2 linked regions of the Yarrowia lipolytica genome follow. Each later gene encodes a partner of the first gene's protein in a complex. Links are inferred from orthologs where the notes say so. Each region holds a gene or a part of one and is shown in the gene's direction. Other genes may lie near its edges. The genes, in order: YALI1_F28943g and YALI1_B12427g.

What was found.
Region 2: the proteins of YALI1_F28943g (region 1) and YALI1_B12427g are in contact, whole or in part, in a crystal structure (PDB 4A8J), measured with the Saccharomyces cerevisiae proteins. The link is inferred for Yarrowia lipolytica from reciprocal best matches to the Saccharomyces cerevisiae genes ELP4 and IKI1. Residues at the interface, in NP_015224.1 of Saccharomyces cerevisiae: Thr115, Thr116, His293, Pro294, Pro299, Phe302, Glu303, Ser304, Ser332, Ile335, Thr337, Leu340, Gln359, Thr362, Glu363, Glu366; in NP_012057.3 of Saccharomyces cerevisiae: Ala2, Ser3, Ser4, Glu115, Thr118, Asn151, Asn152, Asn153, Tyr154, Pro155, Thr159, Leu160, Phe163, Lys209, Ser212, Gly213, Arg214, Ser215, Leu216, Glu217, Tyr218.

What each region holds. Positions count from the first base shown.
Region 1 is NC_090775.1:2,892,233-2,896,073, forward strand, and holds YALI1_F28943g (uncharacterized protein), read left to right. Parts: upstream 1-2,095; coding exon 2,096-3,235; downstream 3,236-3,841. Other genes in the region: YALI1_F28915g (uncharacterized protein), read left to right, coding at 1-784; YALI1_F28934g (uncharacterized protein), read left to right, coding at 1,238-1,436, 1,535-1,587. UniProt on the Saccharomyces cerevisiae protein: Component of the elongator complex, a multiprotein complex which is required for multiple tRNA modifications, including mcm5U (5-methoxycarbonylmethyl uridine), mcm5s2U (5-methoxycarbonylmethyl-2-thiouridine), and ncm5U (5-carbamoylmethyl uridine).
Region 2 is NC_090771.1:1,240,907-1,244,245, forward strand, and holds YALI1_B12427g (uncharacterized protein), read left to right. Parts: upstream 1-1,846; coding exon 1,847-2,722; downstream 2,723-3,339. Other genes in the region: YALI1_B12409g (uncharacterized protein), read left to right, coding at 8-1,210; YALI1_B12443g (uncharacterized protein), read right to left, coding at 3,067-3,339. UniProt on the Saccharomyces cerevisiae protein: Component of the elongator complex which is required for multiple tRNA modifications, including mcm5U (5-methoxycarbonylmethyl uridine), mcm5s2U (5-methoxycarbonylmethyl-2-thiouridine), and ncm5U (5-carbamoylmethyl uridine).

The sequences.
Region 1 (3,841 bases):
ACAATACGAGGTGTACGATGGTATCGAGACAGGTTCCGGTAACGTGCCCAACTGTACCAACCGAACTCCGTACATTTGGACCTACAACTCTGGAATCTTCATGCACGGAGCCGCTGCCTTGTACAACGGAACGCTCCTGAGAAATGGAACAGGTTCGGAAAAGTGGGGGCAACGAGTCAGAGGTATTTTCAACACTGCCGTCTCTCCTCTGCACTTCTTTGGGGGTCCTGAAGGCAACATTATGCGTGAAATCGCCTGTCAACAGGCTACAATTACCTGTGATGCCGATCAGAGAACCTTCAAGGGCATCTATTCGAGTCTTCTCGGTCAGACTGCTCAGCTAGTGCCTGATTTGGCCCCTGAGATCATGAAGTATCTTGTTCCTAGTGCCATGGCAGGAGCTAGAACCTGTTCTGGTGGACGAGATGGCCACACCTGCTCTTTGGACTGGCTGACAGGCAAGTACGACGACCAATACATCGGTCTGGGAGAACAACTCTCAGTTCTGGGTGCTATTCTCAACACCCAAATCATGAGCTCGGAAGGTCCACTGGCTGATATCACTGGAGGAGACTCCAAGGGTAACGGATCGGCCGGCACTGTATTTGAGTCTCCTTATGCCAACACCATTGCTGCGCCACTAACTATTGGACCTGGTGACCGAGCCGGTGCGGGTATCATCACTGCTGTTGTGTGCATCGTTCTCATTGGTTCAGGATGGTGGTTGCTCACTGACGGCATGTACAAGGGGTTCAAGATCAAGAGAAGAGACCCTTCAGAGTAGGTTGATTGATGTTTGTGTAAGGGTATTTTATTGTGTATTTTTGGTTGGTTATGTTGAACTGTAGTTGATGAGTAAATAGCATGTAATGTCGTGTATGAAGCAGAGAGTATGTTCGACAAATGACGCTCCCAAAAATAATTAAAGTACAAGTATATACCTAATTGGGATATCCTTAGTTACTTGGAATGTTCAACAAATTGCACATCTACAACGCTGGTTATAGCTCCACATATAAACATCAGTTTTCCCATAATAAAATTTAAAACCGATGCATGGCGACGAAGAGTCTTCATTATTTTCCATGACTCTCCAATTATTCCAAATTGTTACATTTTAGACCTTCCAAATCCACCTACCAGTATACATAACTTCGCTAAATAAAGTTCAACCACCATCACGAAATCCATCAGCTCCAATCCAGAGCGTCCAACACCACACAACACTCTACACACCATGATCCGACCTGCTGTTCAACGAACATTTGGCCTTAAGCAACACATCGGCTTCCGACGATACTCGACAGAAAAGCCCACTCTTGGCCAGTTTTCCAAACCTCTCACCTCCACCTTCTTCCTCGCCTCCGCCATCTACACAACCATGCATTTCATCTGGTGGCGTCTGGAGACCGACGAGCGACGAAGATCTTATGCCCGTAAGTATTTATTGAAGGGACTGGCGCATTTTGTGTTGATTTGATTCCCCATCTCCTTCAATGACCACATCACATCCAGTCAGATCAAACTAACACAGACACAATCACTTCCCTGGAAAACGAGCTGAAGACCAAGCAGGCCAAGCAGTAATCAAAATGTACATATAGACGAAAATGATATTGATTTTATGGAAGACGTGGTACTGCACCCAAACTACAAGTCATGTGGATGGGTCTGTATCGAAGATGGGTGACGTGCATTGAGCATGATGAAGGCCATAGCAGGAAATCTAACACAAATATATATAGAATACCACCAAACAGCTTACCAAATGAAAGCCCTGGACGAGACAAATCGAATAATACCAATGATTTTATCCTGTGACCATTGAAAGAGGTGGGAATCGCGAAACACGGCACTTTCAACTCAAGCCAAAAGAAATTAATTTCGAGATATAAATACAAACAAGAAAAAACTAGGTTCAAAATTCCCATTATGATTCGACACACTCAATATCCGGAATATCACACACATGTCCATGTCCATGTCCAACCTCCATTATAGGAAATAAGCTTCCAGCATGCATGCCTCTCGATGCACCTTTTTCGTTACAACTTGTACACGCCCTCCGCAACACAGACTCTAGCTTGACACAATCATGTCTTTTCAGAAGAAAAACGTTGCTGTTCCGAACCGGGCGGCCGTAGATCGCAACTCCGGTAATCCCCATCCTCTCAGAGGTCCTCCAGCCAATTCGTCTCACCCAAGCGTCCAAGGTAGAAGCCCCAGGGCTCCCTTTACAGGTTCCACAGATGCCCGGGGGACCTCTGGTGTGACACACGCTGTTCAACCCGTCCCAAACACAAAACCTTCACTTTTGCAGTCCAGTACGCCGACCGTGTCGTCTGGATGCTTCGATTTCGACAAACTCGTCGGTCATAACGGCATTCCTACCGGTACTCTGACTCTGCTAGAGGAAGAATCGACTACAGATTATGCCAGCATTCTGATAAGAATGTTTGCAGCACAGGGGTGCATTGATCGAAGGAATGGCGGGTCTGAGGTGGCGGTGGTAGGAGCTAATGATGCATGGGGACGACAATTGCCAGGAGAGAGCGACAAGAAGAGCAGGTCCCGTGATCCCAGCTCCAAGGCTGGCTCTGGAGCAATGAAGATTGCCTGGAGATACGGCTATAACAGTGAGGTGGAGCGAAAAGAGCAGCTTGCAGAGAACAACACAGCCACTTTCGATCTAACTAAGAGACTGGGTGGTCCAGAGATCTCAAAGATTAGATACTTGAAACCAGATAAGTCGATTGTTCCCGAAATCAAAAAGCTCGCATCCGCCGCGGCTTCCGAGAACTCGATTCTGCGAGTATGCATTCCCACCTTCCTTCATCCTGCTATTTATGATAAGCAGATGGCTGATTCAGATTACGTTATTGGCCTTTTCACACAGCTCAGGGCCCTCACTAGAGAGTACAAGAGACATCTTGTCATTATCGTGTCTCTGCCTCTGGTTCTGTACCCCAAATCGTCTCCTTTGACTCGATGGATGGAACTTCTGGCTGACTGCGTGCTTGATTTCTTCCCTTTTGACGTCAAAGTGCAGGAGCGAGAGTTCCAGGGCCTGGTGAATGTTTCTAAGCTGCCATGCCTGTCTGACAGAGGTCACATGCTTGTTACTCAGAGCGAGTATGCCTTCCGAGTGACGAAACGGACTTTTGAGATTGACGAGTGGAGTATCCCTGTTGAGGAGGATGACGGAGAGAAGAAGGAGGATGCCTTAGCCTTTTAAGCAGATGGAATATGGCAATATTCGACAATAATGATAGCCTAGCTTCCTTGAGAGTCAGACTAAAATGGGCCAGTTTATTCAAACTTGAATTGAGCCCAAGTGAGGGGTGTTTGAGGAGCATCTTTCAAGGCACTTCAGCATTTCAAGGAACAGGGTAGTGCTATACAGGCCAAACGCATATCCTTCAAACACAACCAGTTTCTCTATATTTAAAAAACTGACCCTTGCACGTTGCGTCACTCCTTGCACTCTTTAGTCGTTACTGTAGATACTGTCCCGGTCGAGACAGTGTCAAAACTTGCAAGGACAGTTACGATACTTGTAGGACAGTTACAATTTAGATCCAGTGAATAGAGTCCTGACTATTGTAGAGCCCCAGGATGGGAGCTTATCGCCCGTCTCGTTCTGCGTACGTTGTCTCGGTGTTGTTCGTTTCCAAGAATGGTTTTCCCAGGAACGGGCTATAATGTACGAACAAGTACGACACTTCGACTATCGTCGCCTCAACGCCTTACCCTCCCTCTTAGCTACTTGTAAACACCGTACATACTGTACCCACACATACAGTACATGCAGTAGCTAATTACTTGGACTTGTACAGTAGCT
Region 2 (3,339 bases), on another chromosome or scaffold:
CATCGCAATGCCTTCCGAATCCACCCCTCTCATTGGCCGACGGCTCCAGCCCTCGGACCACACCTACGTGCAAAAGGTGCGCATCGTGCTGGGCTCGTCATATGTCAATATTCTGCTGATTTTCGTGCCCCTCGGCCTGCTCTCCGGAATTCTCGGATGGGGCGCCACCTGGACCTTCTCTCTCAACTTCCTCGCCATTGTCCCCCTTGCCGCCCTGCTGTCGTTTGCTACTGAAGAGCTGTCTGCCAAGGTCGGCCAGACTCTCGGAGGTCTGCTCAATGCCACCTTTGGAAACGCCGTCGAGCTCATTGTATCCGTGATCGCCCTCTACCAGGGCCAGATCCGAATTGTCCAGGCCTCCATGCTTGGATCCATTCTGTCCAACATGCTGCTGGTGCTGGGATGCTGCTTCGTTGCCGGAGGATGGGGACGAGTCCAGCAGAAGTTCAACATGACCGTGGCCCAGACCATGTCCTCTCTTCTCGCCCTCGGAGTCACCTCGCTGCTTATCCCCGCTGCCTTCCACGCCTCTCTGCCCAACTCTGGAAAGCCCGGAGAGGATACCGACCCTTCGGTTGTCGACCCCACCCTAGCTGTGTCTCGAGGAACCTCCATCGTCATTCTCTCCATCTACACTCTTTTCCTCTACTTTCAGCTCGGATCCCACAGCGGTCTGTTTGAGGACGCTGAGAGCGAGGCCGTTGACGCTACCGAGGGAGAGGACGAGCACGAGGGCTCCACCCTGACTCCCTGGGAGTCAATCTTTGCCCTGGTTGTCATCACCGTAATGGTCTCTTTCTGCGCCGACTACCTCGTCGAGTCCATCGACGACATTGTGGCTTCTTCCGGACTCTCCAAGACCTTCATCGGTCTGATTCTGCTGCCCATTGTCGGTAACGCCGCCGAGCACGTGACTGCCGTGGTTGTGGCTATCAAGGATAAGATGGATCTGGCTATCGGAGTGGCTATCGGCTCCTCTCTGCAGATTGCCCTTTTCCTCACCCCCTTCCTGGTCATTCTCGGCTGGATCATCGACCAGCCCATGTCTCTGTACTTCTCCACCTTTGAGACTGCCGTCCTCTTCGTCGGAGTCTTTGTCTGCAACTACCTGCTGCAGGACGGAGAGTCCAACTGGCTTGAGGGAGTCATGTTGCTCGGCACCTACTTTATTGCCGCCATTGCCTTCTTCTACTATCCCTCGGATATGTAAGAGGACAGGAATGCCTCTATGTAAATTACGCAGTGAAGTAATAGACATTATACTTAATGAGCCTGGAGCATTCGCAAATGGACTCATTTTTGAAGTCCCTTGTATTAGCTGTCCGAACCAGGAATGTGATTCAATGGTATAACAATGTCCGTGATGACTGGCTTCTACAGGTAAGGTTATGATTTCGCCTTGGAGTCTGAGAAGATGCAAGACTAGACTGTGACTACTAGACTCTGACAAGATATTGTGTAACATGAATGATATATTTAGTGACATTGGGGACCGTTTCAGAGCTCTCGGATTTCAAATACCTCTTCTGTAGCGCATTCTAGCTATTATAATATTGACTCCTTTTACTTAGCTTTACTTTAACTATAATCTTAAGAGTTCAACTAATTTCAAGTAATTTAAAGAACTGGGCTATCGAGTCAATATGAGTATATACTCAAGGTATGGAAGAATTAATTACATCAATTCACTTGGATCAAAATTCTAACCCCCTTGAACTTATGAAACACTAACCAATCCACTACCTTTACCTTCTCCGTTCCATCTTTGACCACCACTATACACCACGATAAAGTTGCACCATGCATATCAAGACCGTTTTTTTTTGAAAGTGTATTCTCACCAAAAATGCACCCTTCGCTACTCCTGCCCCGGATTCTCGCGTTGAAGGACAGCTCGGCGTTCACGGTGATTATTGATAGCGTGGAACAGTCAGCATCTCGCTTGATCAGCGAATTCCTCCACCACGCACCTGAATCAACCAATGTTCTGTACGTCAACTACGAGACATTGACGGTTGATAAACGGGTCAACCACGAGATTTCGGGACACGAAAAGGTCGCCGAGCTCAAGCAAAAGATTGTCCAGCTGACGGGGACGTCCCAGACTCTCATCATCTTCGACACCCTGGCTTTCATTCCAGAACAAGAGCTGTTCCAGCTGCTCTTCAGTTTGATCAGCAAGCATACAACAGTCGTTTGCGTCTACCACGGCGATATCCGGTCGAAAAGTGACTCTTCGAGCTCCTGTTACCCCTCGACTCTGTCGCTTCTCAACTACTTTGCCACCAGTATTCTTACTGTTGGTCCTCTGAGCAGACCAGACGTCATGCCTCATGTTTTGGAACAACACAGTAACCGGATTTCGGCCTGGGACATCCCTATGGGCTGCAATTCGCCGAAATTTGAGGTGCAGCTGGATTACAGACGCAAATCGGGACGCTCGGTCATTGCTACATACACTGTAGACAACTCGTCTCATGCAGTAGCCATTGCCCCTAACAAGGCGCAGCAGCAAGAAAACGAGGCAGATCTGCTCAAGGATCTGACCACGTTTAACCTGACAACTTCCACTCGAAACCAGCAGGCCAAGGATAAGGTGGAACTGCCGTTTCTGGAGAGTCAAAAGTACGGAGATGGAGGAGTCCAAGGAGGAGCCATTGTTTACCAGTACGAAAAGGACGATGATTACGACGAAGAAGATCCTTATGAAGATCCCTTCTAAGGGAAAAGTTATTTATTGCACTGTATCATGTTAATATACATTTATCGCAGTTGGTGTTGTGTGTGAAGTATTTCACCAACTACAATCACAAGAATTGCACCAGAATAGTGTGCGGTTTTACAAGAACACCACAGGGTCGAATGGGGACCTACTGATAGCCGTGCCGAGTACAGTACAAGTCATAAATCGTATTAATGTCTATCACATCAATGGTGCCATTGTAGATAGTGACAGGATGTAACTCACAGTGGGTAGCTCTCGTAGCAATACGGCCTCGGCGTTCGGAATAGCCACAGTCGTGCTATACACTCCCATGGCTAACACACCCTCCACTCGTCTGGTTGCTACTTCAATTGGTCGAGCAAAAACTGCAGCGCTCGGAACGCAAACTCCTCCATGTTCTGAGCTCGGTCGTTACTGCCTGTCGAAAAAGTCATGCTCTTGGATCCACTGGGTCCGACCACAGCCACAAACCCGGTTCCCACGGCGTCTCCAGTCGGGCCGGCCCATCCGGTCTCGGAAAGAGCATAGGTGGAGCCCAGCTCAATCTTGAGGTTTCGCGCCAGTCTCAAAGCCACACTTTCACTGGGGCCCGTGTACTGATCAATGTCGGTCTG